Linked DNA regions of Coturnix japonica. The main gene of each other region encodes a partner of the protein of the gene in region 3 in a complex. Links are inferred from orthologs where the notes say so. Each region holds a gene or a part of one and is shown on either strand. Other genes may lie near its edges. The genes, in order: CHD4, HDAC1, MTA1, HDAC2, CDK2AP2 and CHD5.

Region 1 (4,150 bases), on a different chromosome or scaffold from region 3:
TGCAAACCCTTAAAGGCAAGAGAGGACATCAGTGAAAATAAGTACCCTGTGTTTGCGGTTGGTAGGAAGTCTGTGGGTTCATCTTGAGCGATGTTGTTCCTGCTTGAATGGGCATTTTCTCTAGGAGCAAAGATATGTGCATGTTTACAGTGGGGGAAACACTTCACTGATGGCTTCTTTTCTTTTTTTTTTTATCTGATATGCCGCTCTGGGGTGGGGAATACACAGAAGAGGGAATAAAGGCAGAAGAAGGAGCCAGTAACAAGGAACAAGGAGAGTCTGCTGAGCCAGAGAAAGAACTCAGTGCCTCTGCTAATGACACAGAGGTCCCTATGGAGGTGGGTATTGGGATGCTAGTTTGCCTCATGCAGTTGCAAATGTCTCTACTTAGAGATGATTCTCCTCATGTTCTCACAATCAGTGTGTAATAGTTTTGTGCGGATTTGCTTTCCAAACTGGTTTGACTGTCTTGTTTGCATACGCTGCGTTGTTTCACTGCTCATTGATCTGTCCTCAGCAGTGTGCCCAGCCTACGGAGGCAGCACCACAGGAAGCAAAATCCCCAGTGAATTCCACAGAAACAGATGAGAAGAAAGAAGAACCAGAGGTGAAGGAAAGAACAGATGAGCCAATGGAAGTGGAAAACAAAGGTATCTCTAGAGAGGTTGTTTAATACCTTGAACACAAACAGCTGAACAAAAAATGAACACCAGTATCCTCCTAAAGATGCAACTTCTTTGCCTGTGTTTTCACCTTATAGAAGCAGACATAAATGGATAACTGGTGGAGACTGTTCCATGACTTTGAGCAGGGAGTCAGGGAACACCTTGGTTTCATTGACTGAGGAACAAAAGCTTGAGCTCATAGTTACATCTCATACTCCCTTTCTCTCTTGCAGCTGATGTGGAGAAGGCAGAAGACAGAGCACCTACTGAGAATACCTCTGACCCCCCTGTAATCACCTTGGATGAGAAAGGTGAGTCGTGATAATTCCATTCCTGATTCCCTTCATGACTCCCTCTCCTGCAAGGACTTCCTGTAGGTCCAACTTGCTATGCTATCTGCCATGTTCTTTCTAATGACTTCTGTGCACGCAGATGAGAAAAAGGATGATGATAAGAGAGACGTGGTGATGCTGCAGAACGGAGAGATGCTGAAAGAGTCAGTAGATGAAAGGCACAAAAAGGCAGTAAAGCAACGGTTCATGTTCAACATAGCTGATGGTGGCTTCACAGGTATGTGAAATCTTTTTATATTTTAACTCATTTATATTCTCCTGTTCTCGTTCATGAGGTAACTTTCCATTATTTTTGTGTATCTTGCCTGTCCAGAATTACACTCCCTGTGGCAGAACGAAGAGCGGGCCGCAACTGTCACAAAGAAGACATATGAGATCTGGCATCGGCGTCATGACTACTGGCTGCTTGCTGGAATTATCAAGTATCCTTGCCCTGAGAAACCAGTTCTCTCCCCCTGTGCTTTAAATCTTGTTGTGAAGGTGACCGTTTGGGGCCTGACTGGAACGCGTTCAGAGAGAGAGTGCTTTTTATCATTCAGTAGAGTGAAAGAAATGATGGGAGGAGGGTTTTAGTGTCGGTGTAATTAAGACCTAGCAGGAAATAGTTCTCATTCCTCTTTCTTGGCCCCTGTTCCTCCCCTCTTTGTGTCCCCTTCCCTGACCCCCTCAAAAACTGTCTGCCTGGACTGTGTATTCCCATGTTCTCACTGCCTTTGTTTGCCTGAGCTCATCCCATCTCAGTCATGGCTATGCCCGTTGGCAAGATATTCAGAATGATCCGCGTTACGCCATCCTCAATGAGCCCTTCAAGGGAGAGATGAACAGGGGTAACTTCCTGGAAATAAAGAACAAATTCTTGGCAAGGAGATTCAAGGTAAGGCACCTTCATTGTGACAAATGCCCTTCAGCAAGATGAGCTTTTAAGAACAAGATGGCTGCCAACCCAAGTTAGGCCATGTAATTCTGAGTCTCGGAACTAAACATCAGTGTAGTTTGGCCAGTCAGCTCTGCTACAATAGAATTCAAATTGATTTCTTCAGAGGACTCTGACATGTTTAACAGTTTCTCTTGAATTCTTCCTCTTTGGTTGGATACTTCTCAGGTTCACTGGGGGAAAAAAAAGCTTCATCTCCTGTGCTTCATGCAGAAAGATCAAAGATTTACTTCAGAAATCCTTTAAGAAGGCAGAGGAATATGAATCTGTTCACAGCACTTTAGACTGGTCATAAGTTGGTTGATTTTCTTGTATACAGAGCCTGGCTTAATGAAGCTCTTTGTTTCTCAATATTTAGACCAAGCTAAACAGAAGATGGTGAAAGGAGTTTCAGGGTTCCACCTTGTGACAGACAATGACTAGATCAGGAAGACTGTGGTGGGGTTGGAGAGGGACATCCAAGCAGGCAACTGCTGGAGGACTTCTCACATGACTGCCCCCTCTTGCAGCTCCTGGAGCAGGCCCTGGTGATTGAGGAGCAGCTGCGGCGAGCTGCCTATCTGAATATGTCAGAAGACCCCTCTCATCCTTCAATGGCTCTGAACACACGTTTTGCAGAGGTGGAGTGCCTGGCCGAGAGTCACCAGCATCTATCCAAGGAGTCAATGGCTGGGAATAAGCCTGCCAACGCCGTGCTGCACAAAGGTGATGTTATGGGCTAAGCAAGAGTGGATGTGTTGAGCATCTTGTGCACCACACATGGGGAAGACCTTCTTTTTCCTCCTTCCTCTGCCCTGAATCCATGTCCCTTTCTCTTCTAGTTCTGAAGCAGCTCGAGGAGCTTCTGAGTGACATGAAGGCTGACGTGACACGCTTGCCTGCCACTATTGCCCGTATCCCGCCGGTGGCAGTGCGCCTGCAGATGTCGGAACGCAACATCCTCAGCAGGCTCGCCAACCGCAGCAGTGAGCCCCCTCCACCGCCCCCTCCCCAACAAGTATGTGCCCTCCCTGCTCTGCAGGCGGGGGTGTCTCGGGGCTATGTGGGGAAATAGCCCCCATACTACAGAGCCTAGCGGCTGTTCTCTCGCCCTACAGGTGGCGCAGCAGCAGTGAGTCTCCAGCCCGGTGCCGTCAATCTTTTGGCCAAGCCGAAGTGACCCTCCCCGCCCCACCCCTTCACACTCTGCCCCTCTGCCTGACATTCCTGACCGGGTGCCGTTTCTTCGTGGAAGCTGCCGTGCGAGTCTCTGGGAGGAGGGAGAACCTCCTTCCATTACGGCCAGCCCACCGGAGCGAGGAGTGTGCTGAGGAGAGAGGGGGACGGATGGATGATGGACTCTGTACATAGTGACTGAAGGCCGCGGTGCCATGGCTGTTACATGGAGAACCTGGCTGCGTTGCTCGCTGCCTCCGCCTGGAATTCCACGTTTTCAGTTTTGTAACTTTCTTTTTGGGTTTGTTTACCGATGTGACCGCACAGGCGAGATGAAGCAGAAGCCAGGACAGAGACAAAGCTACCTCCATCGAGATCCTTTTTAATACAGAAACTGACGGGACTTGTCCGCTCATTAAGCAGCTCGGAGAGGAGAAAATAAAGTGAAAAAAAAAAACAACAAAAAAACACAACAAAAAGCAAAAGGACAAAAGCAGAGCAAAATCTTGGTAGAACTGAAAAATAAAGTTTCCTTGTATTTTACTTTGAGGTTTCTGTGCAGCACTGATTCTCTCTAGGCCTGAATCCTCCTGCTTTGCCTTGGGCTGGGCTGTGAGAGGCCCTGCCGTCTCTCGTGCCGGCCCACAGAATCACAGAATGACCCAGGTTGGAAGGGACCTCAAGGATCATGTAGTTCCAACCCCCCTGCCTGGCAGGGCCACCAAACATACACATTTACTAGACGAGGTTGCCCAGGGCCCCGTCCAACCTGGTCAACGTGGCCCGTGACGTTCCGCCCCGCAGCCAATACCGGGCCGGGGGCGGGTCGGCGGACGAGCGCGTGCGCGGCAGGGGTTGGCCCGCACGTGGGTTGTTGGCGGTGCCGGCTGTACCGGAGCCATGGGGCGGAAGCTGGACCCGACTAAGAAGGAGAAGCGCGGCCCCGGGCGCAAGGCCCGCAAGCAGCGGGGGGCCGAGGTGGAGCTGGCCCGCTTCCTGCCGCCCGGTAAGTGCGGCCCGTGGCGGCCCGGGGCCTTGGCGCT
Region 2 (2,657 bases), on a different chromosome or scaffold from region 3:
CTGAGAAGCGCATTTCAAGTAGGTGCTTGCCTCTGGCATGGCTGCATTGCTCTGCTGGGAAGTGCACTGCACAGAGCCTGTACATCTCCAAGCATTAGTGCGCAGTATCTTCTGACCTCTTCTCCCCTTCACTCTCAGTCCGCAATTCTGATAAGAGAATATCCTGTGATGAAGAATTCTCTGACTCCGAAGATGAAGGGGAAGGAGGGCGCAAAAACGTTGCCAACTTTAAGAAGGCCAAACGTGTGAAAACAGAAGAGGAAAAGGAGGAGGAGGAGAAGAAGGGTAAGCACGAGGGCTATGGCTGGAAGCCCTCCCAGCTGTGTAGAGCACTGCCTGATGTGTGCTTTCCTACTGCCCTCCCATGCCTTTATTTTTTTCTCCTAGATGAGAAAGAAGAGGAAAAAGCAAAAGAGGAGAAAGCTGAACCCAAGGGGTGAGCACGGTGTCTCTTGACTTGGCACTTCACTGTCTGAGTTTGTATTTGTTTAAACCAGATTCTCCACTGCTTCCTTCCACAGGGTGAAGGAAGAGGCAAAATCCACCTAAGATGGCTGCGGCTGGACGGCGCCTGTCAGTGCGTGGTTGTCGTAGGTTAGCTTCTCCGGTTGCCTCCCATTCCACAGGATTTATATTTTATATATGTTTCTGTATATATTTCTATATAAATATATAAATGACTTGAGAACTGTAAATTATTCCTCGCTGCACTCCGCTGGGAGCAGGCAGGGAGGACTGCAGAGTAGAGAGACCCACATTGCCCAGCATTGGAACTGGGAAGTTTTGCTCTTTGCCTCCCACCAGCTCCTCAGTGTGTCTTTAAGAAAGAATCACTTCCTTTCTTTGCTCTCCTCTGAAGTAACCGCCCTTAAGAATGAATAATTTAAGTAGAAGTAGCATCTGCATTTCAGGTTAGGTGGGAAGATGGCCATGAAGCTTTTGCTTTTTTTCTGCTTCTTTTCCTTTTTCTCTCTCTTTTGTTTTGTTTTGTTTTTGTGGGAGATGTGAATTCCCAAATGAAGCCTGTGAGAGACGGAGCGTCCTTTGGTCTTCAGTCTGATTCCACCACGGCAATAACTACAAGCCGGTGCCGCTTCTCAGGGTCAAATAGTGCAGTTCTTGGACAGAGTTGGCTACTTTCCTGCAGCAGACTTGTGGAGAGAGGTGAAACAGCTGACAGGCAGATCAGGAGGTGGATGGAGTGAATCTGCCCAGAGCCCTGCAGGTAGAGAGCTGTGGGGATGGACCCTTCCCGGGATGTGGCGGATCCCATTGGCAGCGCTGTGTGTCTTTGTACACTCGTTTCCTAGAGCTGTGCCCCTCTTTGCAGGGGGGAGGTGAGTTACTGCCCACCTGGCTGCCTGCTTCACTCTGCTGCTGCCCTCAGCTACACGTGCTGTAATTGCTTCAGTGCTGATCCGTGTCCTTGCTGAAAGCACAGCAGAGCAGGACAGACGGGCAGGGCCCAGCTGGTGCCTCTGCTCCACGTGCCACTTACTAAGAATCTCCTCCTGGAGCAGGCACGTTTTCGAGCGGATCCTTCCCTCTCTTTGCTCTCAAGGCCAGTAAATGCTGAGAGCCTTTTATCAGCAGGCAGCGCTGTTATCTGTACGAGGGAACAGCAGATGGGGCTCTGTACGTTTCTAGAACTACTCCTCTTCCTACTCCCACACGTTATCTCACACCCAAAGGTCTTTTGTGCTCAGAGCCGGCCTTTCTCACACCTTGCTTTGTACAGCTGAGCGTGAGATGAGCGTTCCACCAAGAGCTCCAGCTTTGCACAAGTTTTGCAGGCAGTTGTGACTCGCTGCTCTCCTTTCTCAGGGCGATTCCTCTGTCCATAAGAGGGTCTGTACCTCCCACGGGGCTGCTGCTGCTGGTTTCAACTCTAATAATGCTGCTAACTTAACACAGGTTATTTTTGAAATGTTTTATTTTTTTACGTGCTTTTCCTCCCTTTTTCCACCATCAGTTTTTTGTAGCCTCTTGGAACCCGAGTGACGTCTCACTCCCGCTCTTCAGTGTTTGTATGTGAAGCGAGAGGGATGGGTGCATCTTTGTGTCCTGGGGAGGGGAGGGGGGGAAATATATTGTGGTTTTTTAAAGATGCTTTTATTTTAAATTTGGAGAACCTTTGTAATAAAACGTCCATTTCTATGGTTGGTCTGAGCTGGAGCTGCTTTGTGCGCGGGGTGGAGTCACAGTGTGCTGCAAGAGGAGCCTCCCCTGCTATAGGGTGATGGACGTGGATGTGTTGGTTGAGTGCTGAGGGCCAAAGCAGTGTGTAGGAACATGCAGCGTGCAGCAGATCCTGCTGCAGGTGTTGAAATTCCCTTTATTTCCCTCAATTTTATAGCGCAGCCTTCAGCCCCCAACACACACACACACACTGCAATCCCACACGGGGCCGTTCCCATCGCAGCCCTTTGTGTGCTGTTAATGCTGCACTGCCTGCTGCTGAAGGCAACCATGATCATCCATAGAGACGATGGGTTACATGGCGCTTTAAAGCACTTGGGTGCTTATTTCTTGCATGAGTGCCTGGGTTGTGGTTTTTATTTGCAATCTGCTGTTCAATTAATTAGAAAAATAACGATTAAATGAGCCGGGTGGTTTTGCCTCATAAGGAGAGGAGGAAAAGCTTCGAGTGCCACAGC
Region 3 (3,500 bases):
CCAGTTCCATCCCTGATCAGAATCAACCTCATCATGCAGACCCCCACTTTATATACTTACAAAATCTTGCTGAATGTCAGTGAAATCTTTTCCGTATTTTTCTAGTGCTTCCTCAAAGAGGTTTGCCTCTGAAGCAGACCACTCCTCCATCTCATCTCTACACAGGACTGGCCCACCTTGTGGCACAAGCGCAGAGATCGCCTTGGAAATGTCATAGACATTTTTGTGCAAAGTGTCCATAGCATGGAACTACGTGTTGTAAGAGAGAAACAAATGTAAGAACAAGCTCCCAGTGGGAAAAGCACTCAGTAACTTAGCAGCAGTAGCAGAAACCATGCAGCAATATCTGTGGATAACGTACACTACATCTGCATCAAGTCAGATGCAGATACTTGCTCCAACCCCAGACTCAAGATAATTTTCAGTGTACAAGTCTTAGGTTCACTAAAAATGGTGGGATTTTTTGGAACGTGAGCATCTGCATATGAGTAATTCCTACTTTAGCTAATCCCTAGCATCACCACTGCAGCACTGCTGCTAAGAAAATGCAGGGGATAGAGCCTCACTCACCAGATGGAGCATGAAGATGGAAGTCTGAGGGTGTATTTTCTAATAAACTTAGCCATGCGCTTCTTTTGTCAAATAATCCTCACAAATTGCATATAAAACAAATATTTAAGCACGCAGACACAGGTCCCAGATGTCACAAACCCCAAAAAGAATTTAAGTCACATCTAATAGCTGACTAGGAAGAACTACTCCCAAGAGTGCGCAGTTATTCATCAGAAAGCTGAGCTACAACTGCTGGTGACTTATGATATACGAGGGGGAAGAACACACTGAGAGCGAGGGGTTGGTATTGAAAGTGAAAGCTGGGCTTTGTATCTGTCTTTTCTATCAGGATGTTATTTGTCTTCCATCTACCAGAGTTTTGTGCATAATAAACCTACAGTGTTTTATCCTAAAGTTTGTTCTGCAAATGATTTCATATTATATCAGTTATGAGGTGAGATTTTGATAACAGCACTCTGGAGACTTCATAACTTTTATTCACACTTCCATTTAACTCTTCCTAGCATAGACATTTCTTTTTTCCCTTTCCTCTCTATTAAGAATCCTTTACAAATACAAAATATTCATAGTACGCCCACTGCTTCAGTGCTTTAAAACCAAGCTCAAAGAAAACCCCATCAACTGAAATTCCTTATCTGACCACAAACCCTTCCCCCCCAGACCATTTTGCCCAAAGATGGCTGTGGCAGTTGGGAAAGCAGTAAGTGGTATTTTGGCATTACAGCATTGAAGACAGGCAGGTATCACATGGGTTCTTGTTAAGACCATTACTCACTAAGCCTAGGTAAGAGATGGGCTGTGAAGCATGGTCAGAACATTAAAGAAATAAAAATTCTGAGCTACCCATGATGGATCATAAGGAGGCACAAAGCCAGAAATAGTTACTTCAACGTAAATAAAGGGCTCCTTTACAAAGACAGGATCTGGTTCACAGCAGGCCACAATTACAGTCCATCTGCCCCTTTCCCTTTGCCAACTGTTATTGAGGAGGTGAATTATATTACATCTCTCAGTAACTGAAGGCCCACTTAAAAACCTTACCAGTGTGATGTCCCTAGAGGCTGCTGCAGCACTCATGTGTAAACTAGGTTGCCTGACAGAACTACTGCAGTCCAGTGCTCGGGCAAATGTACCAACAGACCTGAAAGAAATAACAACGGAGCATTAACTCTGCATGCAAAGCAAGCATAAATATCAACACCCAACCAACATTTTTTGGGATCAGCAGACTCCACTTCTCAGTAACAAGATTCCATGTCTTGGCACTACTTCTGAGCCAGGGACCGTTCTCTTCAGATGTGGTTTGTTATTATGAATGCTCGACTGTGCACAGTTTATATGACCAAATAGACTCAGGCAGGAGAACAGTGGAGGACTCCAAGATCACAAACAGGCAGTTTCGAACCATCTCATCCTCTGTCTCTTAACATAAACTTTTGAATTAAGGTTCAAAAGAGAGTGATTACAAGTGACCTTTATGAACAGCAGCCCTAGTAGTGCTGTGTTGTCCAAAGGCACATCGATACATGCCAAGACATGACAGGAAAAAAAAAAAAAAAGAATACAGGAACAATCATTTTCCAAAGCTGCAGAAAAAGTACGACATAGTATAATGTTGTAAATATATATTTATTATATGTACCGTAATATATAAAAAAGAGTATTTAAAGTATAAACAGGCCGTGTAAAAGGATAGCAGTCCTCAGATAGTTCTCTATGCCAGCCACTCCTGTTTGCGAGGCTGCAATTCCCAGGCTCCTCATTTTACCCCAGAAGAAATGAGCTGGAGAACTCTACAACAGGAACACTGGTTCCAGTAATTCCCACTCCCCTGGCTGCTTGTTGCAGCACACAGTTGGGAACACTCCTGCACACTGAACTGGAGCTGAACTCTGAGAAATTACAACAAAATCAATTCCCCCCCCTCCAGCACCCCCTCACTCTGTTCACTTCCCCAGACTAGTTGACTGGCTGAGTGCATAGAAGAAAAAAAAAAAGGTAAATACTTAGGCAGTAATCCATCAAATATCTGATTTTGGTCCAAAGCCAAATCTGCCCCCGCAAGGCTTTGGTGCATTCACACTTCACCCTCTCCCCAGCCTCCTACTCACTCATCCTCATTGCTGCTTCACAGCTCCCCTGCTTGCAGAACTGATACTTTAATTTTTTTTTTGTGGTACCTAATTAGAAACTGGATCACTTTACTGATTCTGGGTAGAAGCAATCTTCATACTGATCATTTTGGGGTCTTTTGCCAGCAGGCAACCTCACATGGCTCTATCAGCAAACCAAGCAGGCAGCAGAAAATGGCCAGAACTGCTAGAAGCAGCTTCACAACCAAAAAGCCTACATGAGGTGGAAAGTGCCATCACAGAGCAACTCTGTGGTCAGTCTAAACCAACCCAATGCAAAACCCCCATCAACAAGGCCTTCCACCCTCTGGTTTCCTACTGAGTGCTCCTGACACCAAGATCACAGCAACATGTGGCTGAGTGGCATCGTGAATCAATGCTGCTGGAAGTCAGCTTATCAAATGAGCTCTTTATTGAAGGGCCCCAAAAGCAGCAGGAGTCCTTTGCTGGAGATATTCCAGCTTTCTCCATCTCTTCTCCTGCATCACCGATAGAGATTCTTCTCCCTGCTTTCAGCCATTTCCTTATGCGCATCTGTTTAAGCACAAGGGCTGCTCCAAAAGTAATGTCTCCTATTCTATTACGTTAGCTCACAATGCCAGAGGCCAACAGAAAGAACACCATATGCAAGTTTATCAGGACCTACTGAACTAATACAGAACTGACAGTTTCCTGGACAGCATAATGACCAGCAATGAGATGTGGTGTGTAAAAGCTGGAGTCAAAACAGCAGCCCATGGAATGGCAACATGTCAATCTCCCATAGAAGAAAAAGTTGAAGATGCAGCTCTCAGC
Region 4 (3,268 bases), on a different chromosome or scaffold from region 3:
GTTGCCCATACAGATCAGATTTTTTTTCATCTTACATATCTTGGAAACCAAGAGAGCTGCTGCCTCCTACAGATGCCTTTCAGTATGCTGTATCTACCTGGACTGTGTACTGTCTTGGCACCAGTTTACTCTGTAAGCAAGACTTAGCAACCTTTTGTACAGGTTCAAATTTAGAAGTAGAAAGGAGCAAGTACTGATTTACTTTTTTTTCGTTCTTCCCACTTTGTGTTTAGCTGAGAAATTATCCCTAGATTTGTCACTGTCTTTCCATAGCTAATATCAATACAAAACACAAAATACTTGTTCTAAGAGCATTTCAGAACTACAGTGGTAGGAGGCCATCATCCAAAGTCTCTGAAAATGGGGACGGATAATGTTCAGAGTGTTTTATATGCATCTTAACTGACTTGTGAAATTATGCTTAGCTGTAGAGGGTGACAATTCTGTTTTACTTGAATCAATTCAGTTCTTACTTGATAAGTATCACGTATAATGAACTCTAAGCATATAAGAGTATATACAAATCACTTTTTCTTCTTACTTACTGAATGTTTTGCATATATTGTCAAATATTTTTTGTTTGTCACAGGTCATGCAAAATGTGTGGAAGTTGTAAAGACTTTCAACTTGCCGTTGCTGATGTTAGGAGGAGGTGGATATACTATTCGCAATGTTGCTCGTTGCTGGACATATGAAACTGCTGTTGCCTTAGATTGTGAAATTCCTAATGGTAAATATTCCACAAATTCATACCTTATTAAGAAATAATCATAGGAAGGTCAATGTGGAAGGATAATTATGGAGATATTTGCCAAGTTCTGTGTGTCAGTTTAGAATGAACTATAGAGAAAGCCATTGTTAAGGCTCAGCTGATAACTTTTCACAAGCTTATATACTAAATGAAGTTTAGAGACTTAGGGCTTGCTTATGCTTTTATCAAAGCTTAAAATTATCAGGTCGCTTAGTATATATGTTATCATATGTTTGGCAGTGTTTTTATTATGACAGCACAGACATGTTTAAGCTGGGTAATGCAGATACGGTGTTTATAAGAAAAGTCTGAGTGTATAAGTACCCATTTTGCACGGTAAAACTTTATTTCTTCATTATATCTTTGACCTAAAAGTGTCCTTATTGACATCATCTGTTCCAATTGCCTCAATTTTGGCTATGCAAGCTCTTACAACTTTTAAAGCAAAATAGCAATAGTCAGCTTCTTTTAAATTCTTGAATAATTAAGTAATTTATCTGAGGAATATCTCCATAGAGCCTACACTCCCTGTAATTCTGGCCAAGTATGCTTCTGGACATATTTTTTGAAAGCTTTTCTATGAAATTAGTATTTGAACTGTCTTGTTACATCAGCCATTGGCAGCTTTCACGTTGGACTGCAGATTTACTGGTAACGTTTTGATATACATAGGTTGCTCCAAAAAGTAGTCTCTCTTATTTCTGTAAAAACTGCAGCATGTACAAAAAGAACAATAACGTTGTTTGATACAGCAAACTCTTAGCTACAAAATACTGTTTTCCAACATAATCACCACTAACTATGAATTTTTAGCAGTGATGAATAAGAGCCTGCATACCACACTTTAAAGTCGGCACCAGCAGAGATGTGTCCCACTGTCTATGTTACCACTGCTGAAACATTCTACCCACCACCTCACTTTGCTCGCATCTACTGTTTGGTCTCCATAAATGCTCAGCAAGCATCAGTGAATGTCAGTAGGTGCTATTTTCTCTTCATGGAGAAATTCAGTTCTACACCTTTATTTCATCTGCACTTCATGTCAGATATTGTTCTGTCAGACTGCCCCTTTGCTGCCATCTGTCACGTGGCAACAAAATTTAACAGAATATTGGTGGGAAGGTTCAACTTCTACTATGCTACCACTAGCATCTGCCTGTGCTGTCATGGGCTAACATCATAAAATAGGAAGCATTACTTTTGGAGCAACCTTTGTACCCCATCATAGGTTTTACTGGAAAAAAATCCTTACTGGCTCACATAAGGTAACTTGGAAGTACCTGTAAATAATATCAGTTAATTGTACCACATCTCCAAAATTAGCTTTTTTAATTATCAATTTTGTTACCTAAGCATTGTCAACATGTGTTCTAACATTATTAAAACTTATTTTAATAGAACTTTATTTTGTTCTTATTGTATTGTGCGAAGAAAGCATGTTTAACTTAATGTGTTGAGTAATTTAGAGAAAAACACTGAAGGTGATACTTCTTGTATTTTGTGTGCACTTTGTATTTAAAATGATTAAAATCACCATTGGGTCACAGTTGTCTTTTCTGTTCTATTTATAGAATTACCATACAATGATTACTTTGAGTATTTTGGACCAGACTTCAAACTTCATATTAGTCCCTCAAACATGACTAACCAAAATACACCAGAATATATGGAGAAGATCAAGTAAGTAGTGCTTACATTATTTGCCAAGTACATGTGTGAGTTGTGCTTCTCTAAAGGTTTAATATTTACACAAGTTTGAGAGTTCCATTCCCTACTACACGCTGAAAAAGTACTGAATAGAAAAGACATTTTTTTCCGTTTTATCAGAAGATGAAATTTTAATTAAAATATCTGTGCCTACAACATTTTCTGTGCTTATGAGTCCTGAGTATTTAAAGAAGAAAGGCTTAGGACTCAGTTTCGGTGGCTTTTTCCCCTTCTTCCAGAAATGAAAGAGTTGACTGTTTTATTTGGCTTACTCTGATTTTGTAAGAAATTTATCCTGTCAGGAAAGAAGCTGTGCTGTGCACTGATTATTAGGCTTCCAAATTCTCTACTCCCTTGTCCAAACACGAGTGATTGTCATTCTTTGTAGCTGTCAGCCTTAAAAATAGAAATCATGTGAGGAGACATTAAAAACTATGGAAAGATGTGTGCAAGCGATTGAGAGACTGTAGTTTGATGAGTCCACAAGATTTGTGAAGTACTTATTGACAAGCTGTAGATATTGTGTTCTTAGGCTTTGCTTCTTCAGTTTATGCCTACCCACATCATGAAGGTTTGTAAACTAATATTGGTCTTCAGAAATGGAATAATACTTAAGAATAATCAAATCTGTACTCATCTAATAAAGAGATAATTGGTTAACCTGAAGTACTCATTGTTTACAATTGTTTTGTTCCTGATTTGGATTTAGAAGAAGGTCATGTAATAGAAACAGAGACTGTAAGGATCTCATAAAACCTCAGTTGCCATTTCATTCTTTGAATTGTGCAGGGGGATACTGAGGTAGTTGTC
Region 5 (3,016 bases), on a different chromosome or scaffold from region 3:
CCCACACGACCCCCCCCCCCGGGCCGCAGCCCAGGCCCCATCCGCACCTGGATCATGTAGAGCTGCGCTACCTGGTACTCCTCCAGGCTCATGGGCAGCAGGATGTGGTACTCCTTGATCAGCATGGCGCCGTGTTTAGGGGAAGGGGCGAGGGGTGGGGGGGGCTCCGCGGCCCTCCGCCGTTAACCCGGCCCCGGCCCGGCCCGCTTCGGCCGGGCCCTCCCCACTGCCATAGCAACGCGCCCCCCGCCCGCTCGGCCGCGCTCTCGGCTCCCTTCGGCTGTTTCCGTCACCCTTCGGCTCCTTTCGGTTCCCTTCGGCTGCGCTCGGCCCCTTCCGAACCTGCGCCGCTCTGAGCCGGCCCCGCGCTGTGTGACGTCACGGCGTGGGGGGCGCCCGCTGACGTCAGGAGGTGGAACAGCGTGGGGGGGGGCGTGACGTCAGAGGGGACGTCAGAAGCGGGGGGGCGGCGGACCGGGAAATTAAAACGGAGCGGTATATATGGGGAATTGGGGGCTTGGAAGGAGGATTTCCTTTATAAGGGGGGGGATGCAGCACGTCCTTTATTTATAAAAGCCGGAAGGTTGGGGCGGGGGGAGCCCCGGGGGTGGCCCCGTTCGGGGGGAGCCACCGGCGGGGCTCGGGGGGGGGGGGGGGGTCGGGGGGCTGCTGTCACGTGCGGGCGTTGCGCTCTGTCTCGGCCAAGCACTCCCGAACCAGCGCCCGAGCGTGGATGATCCCTGAATGGGGGGGATATGAGTGAGCACTGAGCTCCGGGCTTAAGGGGGGGGGAGGGTCACAGAGGGTCGCCCCCCGGGCTCGTTACCCCGCTTGAGCCGCTCCATGGCGCTCTTGCTGCCGGCGTAGGTGGGCCGGATCTCCCTGCCCATCTCCTCGATGACAGACAGCAGGTCGCTGTAGGTGCTCTGCGAGCCCGGAGCGCCGGGCGGCTTCATGGTCTGACAGGGGATGGAAGGCGAGGAGGACGGAGGGGGGGGGGCTCAGCGTCGCCCCACGCCGCCCTCCCGCCGCGTGCCCCTGCCCCGCGGGCTCACCTGCACGTAGCCCATGGACGGCGGCCCGAAGTCGTTGAAGAGCGGGCGGAAGGCGGACGGCGAAGGGACGCTGGGAGCTGCGGGGAGCGACCCCGGGTCCGGCCCTTCCTTCGCACTGGGGCCGGGCCCGTCACCCCTCAGCCCGGCCCCGCTCGGGCCCAGCTCCGTCCGCTCCCTCCCTCAGCCCCGACTCCCCTCCGCACTCTCCGTCCCTCTCCCTTAGGCCCCGCCGCCCCTCAGGCCTCGTGCCCCTCCTTACGCCCTCTTCTCCCCCCACCCCCGCTCTATCCCCGGGGCTCCTCTCACCGGCGGCCGTGGCTGCGGGCCCCGGGGCGGGGCTGGCGCTGGGTGCGGGCGCGATGGGTTTGTAGGACATCCCGCAGCGCTCCGGGCCGAGCGGCGCCCGCCGTGTGCAGGAGACGGAAGCGAGCGGGGCGACCCCCCCCCACAACCTCCCGCTGATTGGTCAGACGGAGCGACCCGGCGGCGCCGATTGGTCGACGGCACGAAGGGAGCCGGCCTGCGCTGTCGGGGGAGCGCGGTGATGACGTCACGAGGCGCACGCCGCCGATACGCAAACATGGCGCGCCGGGCTCCCATCACCATGGAGACCAGCGGCGTCCTGCACCCCCCCATCACCCCCACCCCCACAGCGAGGGCCAGAGGCCTCCCCCGGCACTCAACGGACGGGCACACGGCACCCGGCGGCACACAGCTTCATTGCGAACCGGCAGCGCTGCCAACACACCGACACGGGGCTCCAACACCGGAGCTCCCCCCCCACACACACCATGAGGGGCAGCGCAGGCCCGGGAAGGCCGCCTCCTCCTCCTCCTCCTCCTCCTCCCGGTAAGGCACGGCGGCGAGTCCCGGCCCTTCAGCGCGACATCATCCGCACAAACTCTGCACAAAGAACCACAGCATTAACCCCAAATAAAGCCGGCAATAAGCCCCAAATACAGCTGGCAATAGGGAGGCCCCCCCATCCATGGCTCCATTGTCCCCCAGTTAAAGCTGGGATCAATAGGGCCCCCCCCCCCTCCTTCACCCTGCCCCCATTTACCTTCAAAGTCCACCAGGCCGTCCCCATTGAGATCCACGTCCTTGAGGATCTCGTCCACCTCGCGGTAGTTGAGCTGCTGGCCCAGCAGCTTCCTCATGGCCTCCCGCAGCTCCGCCATGCTGATCTGCCCGTCCCCATTGGTGTCGAACTGCCCCATAGGAGACCCAGCATCACCACTGTGCTCCCAGCACTGCACCCCCTCCCCTCCCCCAATCCCGGCCCTGCTGCCCCCAGCCCTCACCTCACGGAAGGCATCGCGCAGCTCCTTGATCCCAATCATATCCGCTGTCTCCGCCAGCATCTTGGGGCCCATCAGCTCCACAAAGTCATCAAAATCCACTTTGCCGCCTGCTGGAAGGACCAAAGGGGGATTACAAATCAGCGGGGGTGGTACCACTGTGGCAATATGGGGTTACTTCCCCCTTGTCCTGGCACCTACTGATCTGCTGGGACAGCTCAATGAGCTCCATCTCGGTGGGCATGTAGCCCATGGTGCGCATGCATTCACCCAGGTCCTTGTAGCTGATGTAGCCATCGCGGTCCTTGTCAAACTCCTTGAAGGCTTGTTTCAACTCTAGGGGCAGCACAGGGAGAATGGTGACACCTATAGACAGCCATGGGGGCACCCTACAGGTGGGGGCAGGTGAGGACGAAGGGAGCAGCACTCAGACAGGGACTGTGAGGGATAGATGCTGAGATGGGGACCAGCATGGGGAGCTGAAGAGAATGGGTGTGAAGATGGGGACTGAATGGGAAAGGTGGCACAATGGGAACTGGGATAGGGAGCCAGTGGAACAGGTGCTGATATGGGGACTGAAGAGAACAGGTGTCAAGATGGGGACAAAGCACATTAAGAACATGAGAACTGGGGCAGGGAGCCAGGAGAAAAGGTGATGAG
Region 6 (3,500 bases), on a different chromosome or scaffold from region 3:
AGGGCAAAACTCTGCCCTTGGCCGCTGGTGAAAACAGGCACTGCGGGTGCTCAGCAGGGAGCTCTTGGTCCAAGCTAGAGCCAGCTCTTGCTTTCTTTCCACAGGGCTTATGTCTCCCTGTTCATGCGACATTTGTGTGAACCTGGAGCTGATGGTGCAGAGACATTTGCAGATGGGGTCCCACGGGAAGGTCTTTCTCGCCAGCACGTGCTGACTCGGATCGGAGTTATGTCACTAGTAAGGAAGAAGGTGGGTGAGTAAAATCTTACATGTGCCCTTCAGGTACGTTCTGGATACCTGGGGGTTTTGTTAGCTGCTGAATGCCTCCTTGCCAGAGATCCCCTTATTGAATCTCCAAGGCTTGGTGCACGGCCACGTCTGTGGTATTTCAGTGATGTAGGTCAGCTGGAGGTAGAAGTGCTTGGTTGGCAAAAAATCGTGGCAAAATCACATTTTTAACTTCTAAAAAATTCCTGGATTTATAGTTCTTTTCATTTCAGATGGGACTATTACAGTAACCTACTCAGACCTCCTATACTGTACAGGCCAGAGACTTCCACTTGCCAAGTCTTGCATTGTGTCCAGCATCTTGTTGAACCAAAGCATGTCTTTCAGAGAGATGTTTGGGCTTGATTTGGGACTGAATAACTGTTGGTCATGTTGCTAATCCCAGGCATGTGCTGAGCCCCGAGGATACTGGCAGTTAAGTGTATGGAAGAATCCTCAGCTGTCTTGTTTAGAGGATCTCCCCATATGTTGACAAGTGCAGCACTCAGAGTTGTCCCAGGAAGACCATTAGATGATCATAGCAGTAGTTCCAGTGTAGCAGTGGGGAAGGGCAGATGCTGGGAGTGATGGCACCTGATTTTGCTGTGTCTGGAGCATCAACTGTTACTCTGCTGGGTGTGGAGAGTGACAAATTGCAGCCTAGGGAACGGGGTGTGCAAGAGAGACTCTGTGAAAGAGAGGAGTGGAGAGGAAGCAAGGAGCATTTTGATGGAGGCATGATGGGTCCAGGACTGTGAACTCACTGCATGAGCACCCCCAGGGTGCAGCTCACCCTGCATGCCTGCCAAGGCTTCACATGGGCACCAGCACGGTCACTCGCATGCTGCCCTTCTGCTACTCACACAGTCTTAACTCAGTACCTCTCCCTTAAGTCTGCAAAGCCAGCACAGCTGCAGTGGACTTGCTGGGGCATGGGAGGCTTTCTGTGTGCATGTGGGCAGAGCAGGACTGCTGCTGGAGGTGCTGCCCTGCAAAGCAGCAGGGCATGGGCAGTAGCACCTGCTGCCCAGCAAAGTGTGCCACATGGGGTGGTGGGTGTAGGAGCACCTCTGGATGGGGCTGGCCTGCTGCTGCTCTGTTGCTGGCCGCTGTGTTTGACTTGCTGTTGTGTGTCTGCCCCAGGTGCAGGAGTTTGAGCATGTCAATGGGAAGTACAGCACCCCAGACATGATTCTGGAGGGCCCGGAGAGCAAGAAGTGCAGTGAGATGGTTTCTTCAGATCCCAACACCCCTGTCCCAGCCAGCCCAGCACACATACATGCAGGACCTCTTGCCCTTGCAGGTAAATGCACAATGCCCTGGTTGTGGCTTTGGTCTACCTTAGGAAGGGAGGTGGAACAGGACACCAGAAAGTTTTGCAGGTATCTGGCACTGTGTCCTTGGCACAATGGGATTCCTGTTTGTAGCTTCCTTGCTTTACTTGTGTTACAGAAAAAACAGACCCACCACTCGGATTCCAGGAGGAAAAGGACCAAGTGGAGCAGAAGTCCAGGAGAGCATCTGACAGCCAGGTAGGGGGGTCATGAACCTGTGCCCGCAGTGCTGCCCTGCAGACTGCAGTGCTGTAGTAATGGTGTTTCTTGGGAGATGCTGCAGCATTCCTCTGCAAGCAAATCACATCCCTCTGGCTGCTGTGCTAATCCAGTGTGGGTGCTTCACGTTAAGGTGCCTGGAAGCACTGAGAAGGTGGAAAGTGAGGAGTGCCAAGAAAACTGTGAAAGCAAAGAGAAACTGAAGGAAGAGAAACAAGAAGAGAGTGAAAAGGCTGAGCCTTCTCCTGAGCCCCTGGGGAAAGGTGAGTCTCTGTGGCTCAGAAGAATACAGGCTTCATTCTGAGCAGCATCTGGGACATCTGTGAGGGCTCTGACAGTTACAGTGACATTGATGTGTGCTGGGGGATTTCTTCAGCTCAAGGTGCATAGACACAGAGTGTGCACTGTGACAGCCTCAGTGCTCCTGACAGGCAGATACTCTCTGCTGGGAAACTCTGGCACTTGCTGCTGGCTTCTCTTCTCCAAATTGCAGTGGAAAACTTGGATGTCACAATGTCCAGTAGGAGTTCCTGAGAAAGGCTTCCTGTTGGACTTCCAGATTGCTGTCTAGATAATGACACGACATTATCACAGATGTAATCTACACTGTAATATTAAAGCATTAGTTTAGTATAATCTACAAATTAAATGTAAAATAAGTTGTGAGAAATGCTTGTGCACAATACAGTCACTTTACCCTGAAAGTTACAGTCAATCCATATCTGTTATTTCCTGAAGAGCGTTTTACATGTTATGCTTTTCTCAGAGTCCTGTTCCCTTCTGCAGATGAGGGTACTCAAGAAAAAGAGAAGACTTTGGAAAAGCCAGAGTCCAACAGCAGTCCTGGCAAAGGGGAGGACAAAGAAGTCAAGCCAGGTAAAGTGCCAGGAGGCTTTGGGGAGAGAAGTGGTGCAAGGTGCCCTGCTGGGCAGGGTCAGTGACTCAAGGCAAGTGTCTGGGGGTGGCACAGGGCACTGCCTGTGCTTGCTATGAAAACATCAGGAGCTGCTGGGGGAGGCAGGTGGGTGGGAGGTGGGGCTGGTGGCTTCTCCAGCAGTGACTTTAGTGGGGACTTCCCCTTGCAGCTGGGAGGGCAGTGGTAGCAGCAGCCGCTCTGATGGCTGAGTGAGTTTGGGCAGGTGTGATTTCCTGTGTTTGCCCAGCAGAGGATACCAGGGTGGAAGAGAAGGAGCAAAATGAGACTCAGCAAAATGGTGACAAAGAAGAGGAGGACGGAAAGAAGGATGACAGAAATGTGAACTTTAGATTCATGTTCAACATTGCTGATGGAGGCTTTACAGGTAGAAATGAGAGATGAGCCATTGGTTACTCCTGCAGAGCTTCTCCATAAAGCTCTGTACTGAGCGCTGTTCCTGTGGCTCCCTGGGCCATCTCCTTGCTCGCCCCGCATGCTGTGCCCAGCAGCCCTGCTGGCTGACCAGGCTGTCTCTCTTCTGTTTCTGCAGAGCTGCACACGCTGTGGCAGAATGAGGAAAGAGCTGCCATCTCCTCCAGCAAGATCTATGACATCTGGCACCGCAGACATGACTACTGGCTGCTGGCAGGGATTGTCACGTACCCTTTGGCTTTGTGGGTGATGGCCTCCCCGTGCCAGGCGGAGGGGGCTGTGCTGTGAGGGCATTGGGGAGGGAGGTGATGGAGCAGGGAAAGGGGCTGGAG

What was found.
Region 1: MTA1 (region 3) and CHD4 share a complex: the UniProt entries of both Homo sapiens proteins name them as parts of the nucleosome remodeling and deacetylase (NuRD) repressor complex. The link is inferred for Coturnix japonica from reciprocal best matches to the Homo sapiens genes MTA1 and CHD4.
Region 2: the proteins of MTA1 (region 3) and HDAC1 are in contact, whole or in part, in a cryo-EM structure (PDB 7AO8), measured with the Homo sapiens proteins. The link is inferred for Coturnix japonica from reciprocal best matches to the Homo sapiens genes MTA1 and HDAC1. Residues at the interface, in NP_004680.2 of Homo sapiens: Asn132, Glu135, Ala162, Asp163, Gly165, Glu166, Ile167, Arg168, Val169, Asn171, Arg172, Tyr173, Gln174, Ala175, Asp176, Ile177, Thr178, Asp179, Leu180, Leu181, Glu186, Asp187, Arg189, Gln191, Ser192, Arg193, Leu194, Glu195, Thr196, Gln197; in NP_004955.2 of Homo sapiens: Lys10, Tyr14, Gly20, Asn21, Tyr23, Gln26, Lys31, His33, Arg36, His39, Asn40, Leu43, Asn44, Tyr48, Arg49, Lys50, Met51, Glu52, Ile53, Tyr54, Arg55, Pro56, His57, Glu63, Lys66, Tyr67, Asp104, Val118, Ala119, Val122.
Region 4: MTA1 (region 3) and HDAC2 share a complex: the UniProt entries of both Homo sapiens proteins name them as parts of the nucleosome remodeling and deacetylase (NuRD) repressor complex. The link is inferred for Coturnix japonica from reciprocal best matches to the Homo sapiens genes MTA1 and HDAC2.
Region 5: MTA1 (region 3) and CDK2AP2 share a complex: the UniProt entries of both Homo sapiens proteins name them as parts of the nucleosome remodeling and deacetylase (NuRD) repressor complex. The link is inferred for Coturnix japonica from reciprocal best matches to the Homo sapiens genes MTA1 and CDK2AP2.
Region 6: MTA1 (region 3) and CHD5 share a complex: the UniProt entries of both Homo sapiens proteins name them as parts of the nucleosome remodeling and deacetylase (NuRD) repressor complex. The link is inferred for Coturnix japonica from reciprocal best matches to the Homo sapiens genes MTA1 and CHD5.

Annotation. Positions count from the first base shown.
Region 1 is NC_029516.1:69,333,918-69,338,067, reverse strand, and holds the end of CHD4 (chromodomain-helicase-DNA-binding protein 4), read left to right. Parts: exon of another isoform or gene 1-30; intron 31-228; coding exon 229-338; intron 339-517; coding exon 518-650; intron 651-898; coding exon 899-976; intron 977-1,097; coding exon 1,098-1,235; intron 1,236-1,331; coding exon 1,332-1,440; intron 1,441-1,759; coding exon 1,760-1,892; intron 1,893-2,461; coding exon 2,462-2,657; intron 2,658-2,773; coding exon 2,774-2,917; coding exon of another isoform or gene 2,918-2,949; intron 2,950-3,049; coding exon 3,050-3,111; 3' UTR 3,112-3,650; downstream 3,651-4,150. Other genes in the region: NOP2 (probable 28S rRNA (cytosine(4447)-C(5))-methyltransferase), read left to right, coding at 4,008-4,113. UniProt on the Homo sapiens protein: ATP-dependent chromatin-remodeling factor that binds and distorts nucleosomal DNA. Acts as a component of the histone deacetylase NuRD complex which participates in the remodeling of chromatin.
Region 2 is NC_029538.1:4,502,600-4,505,256, reverse strand, and holds the end of HDAC1 (histone deacetylase 1), read left to right. Parts: coding exon 1-18; intron 19-138; coding exon 139-285; intron 286-387; coding exon 388-436; intron 437-521; coding exon 522-549; 3' UTR 550-2,157; downstream 2,158-2,657. UniProt on the Homo sapiens protein: Histone deacetylase that catalyzes the deacetylation of lysine residues on the N-terminal part of the core histones (H2A, H2B, H3 and H4).
Region 3 is NC_029523.1:3,940,078-3,943,577, forward strand, and holds part of MTA1 (metastasis-associated protein MTA1), read right to left. Parts: intron 1,715-3,500; coding exon 1,615-1,714; intron 250-1,614; coding exon 61-249; intron 1-60. UniProt on the Homo sapiens protein: Transcriptional coregulator which can act as both a transcriptional corepressor and coactivator. Acts as a component of the histone deacetylase NuRD complex which participates in the remodeling of chromatin.
Region 4 is NC_029518.1:58,985,486-58,988,753, forward strand, and holds part of HDAC2 (histone deacetylase 2), read left to right. Parts: intron 1-589; coding exon 590-730; intron 731-2,322; coding exon 2,323-2,431; intron 2,432-3,268. UniProt on the Homo sapiens protein: Histone deacetylase that catalyzes the deacetylation of lysine residues on the N-terminal part of the core histones (H2A, H2B, H3 and H4).
Region 5 is NC_029520.1:566,315-569,330, reverse strand, and holds CDK2AP2 (cyclin-dependent kinase 2-associated protein 2), read right to left. Parts: upstream 1,560-3,016; 5' UTR 1,432-1,559; coding exon 1,362-1,431; intron 1,171-1,361; exon of another isoform or gene 1,133-1,170; coding exon 1,056-1,132; intron 960-1,055; coding exon 827-959; intron 741-826; coding exon 673-740; 3' UTR 501-672; downstream 1-500. Other genes in the region: PITPNM1 (membrane-associated phosphatidylinositol transfer protein 1), read right to left, coding at 48-125; CABP2 (calcium-binding protein 2), read right to left, coding at 1,933-1,958, 2,119-2,266, 2,360-2,469, 2,558-2,692. UniProt on the Homo sapiens protein: Acts as a component of the histone deacetylase NuRD complex which participates in the remodeling of chromatin.
Region 6 is NC_029536.1:536,692-540,191, forward strand, and holds part of CHD5 (chromodomain-helicase-DNA-binding protein 5), read left to right. Parts: intron 1-104; coding exon 105-249; intron 250-1,410; coding exon 1,411-1,570; intron 1,571-1,719; coding exon 1,720-1,799; intron 1,800-1,953; coding exon 1,954-2,083; intron 2,084-2,606; coding exon 2,607-2,696; intron 2,697-2,986; coding exon 2,987-3,121; intron 3,122-3,286; coding exon 3,287-3,395; intron 3,396-3,500. UniProt on the Homo sapiens protein: ATP-dependent chromatin-remodeling factor that binds DNA through histones and regulates gene transcription. May specifically recognize and bind trimethylated 'Lys-27' (H3K27me3) and non-methylated 'Lys-4' of histone H3.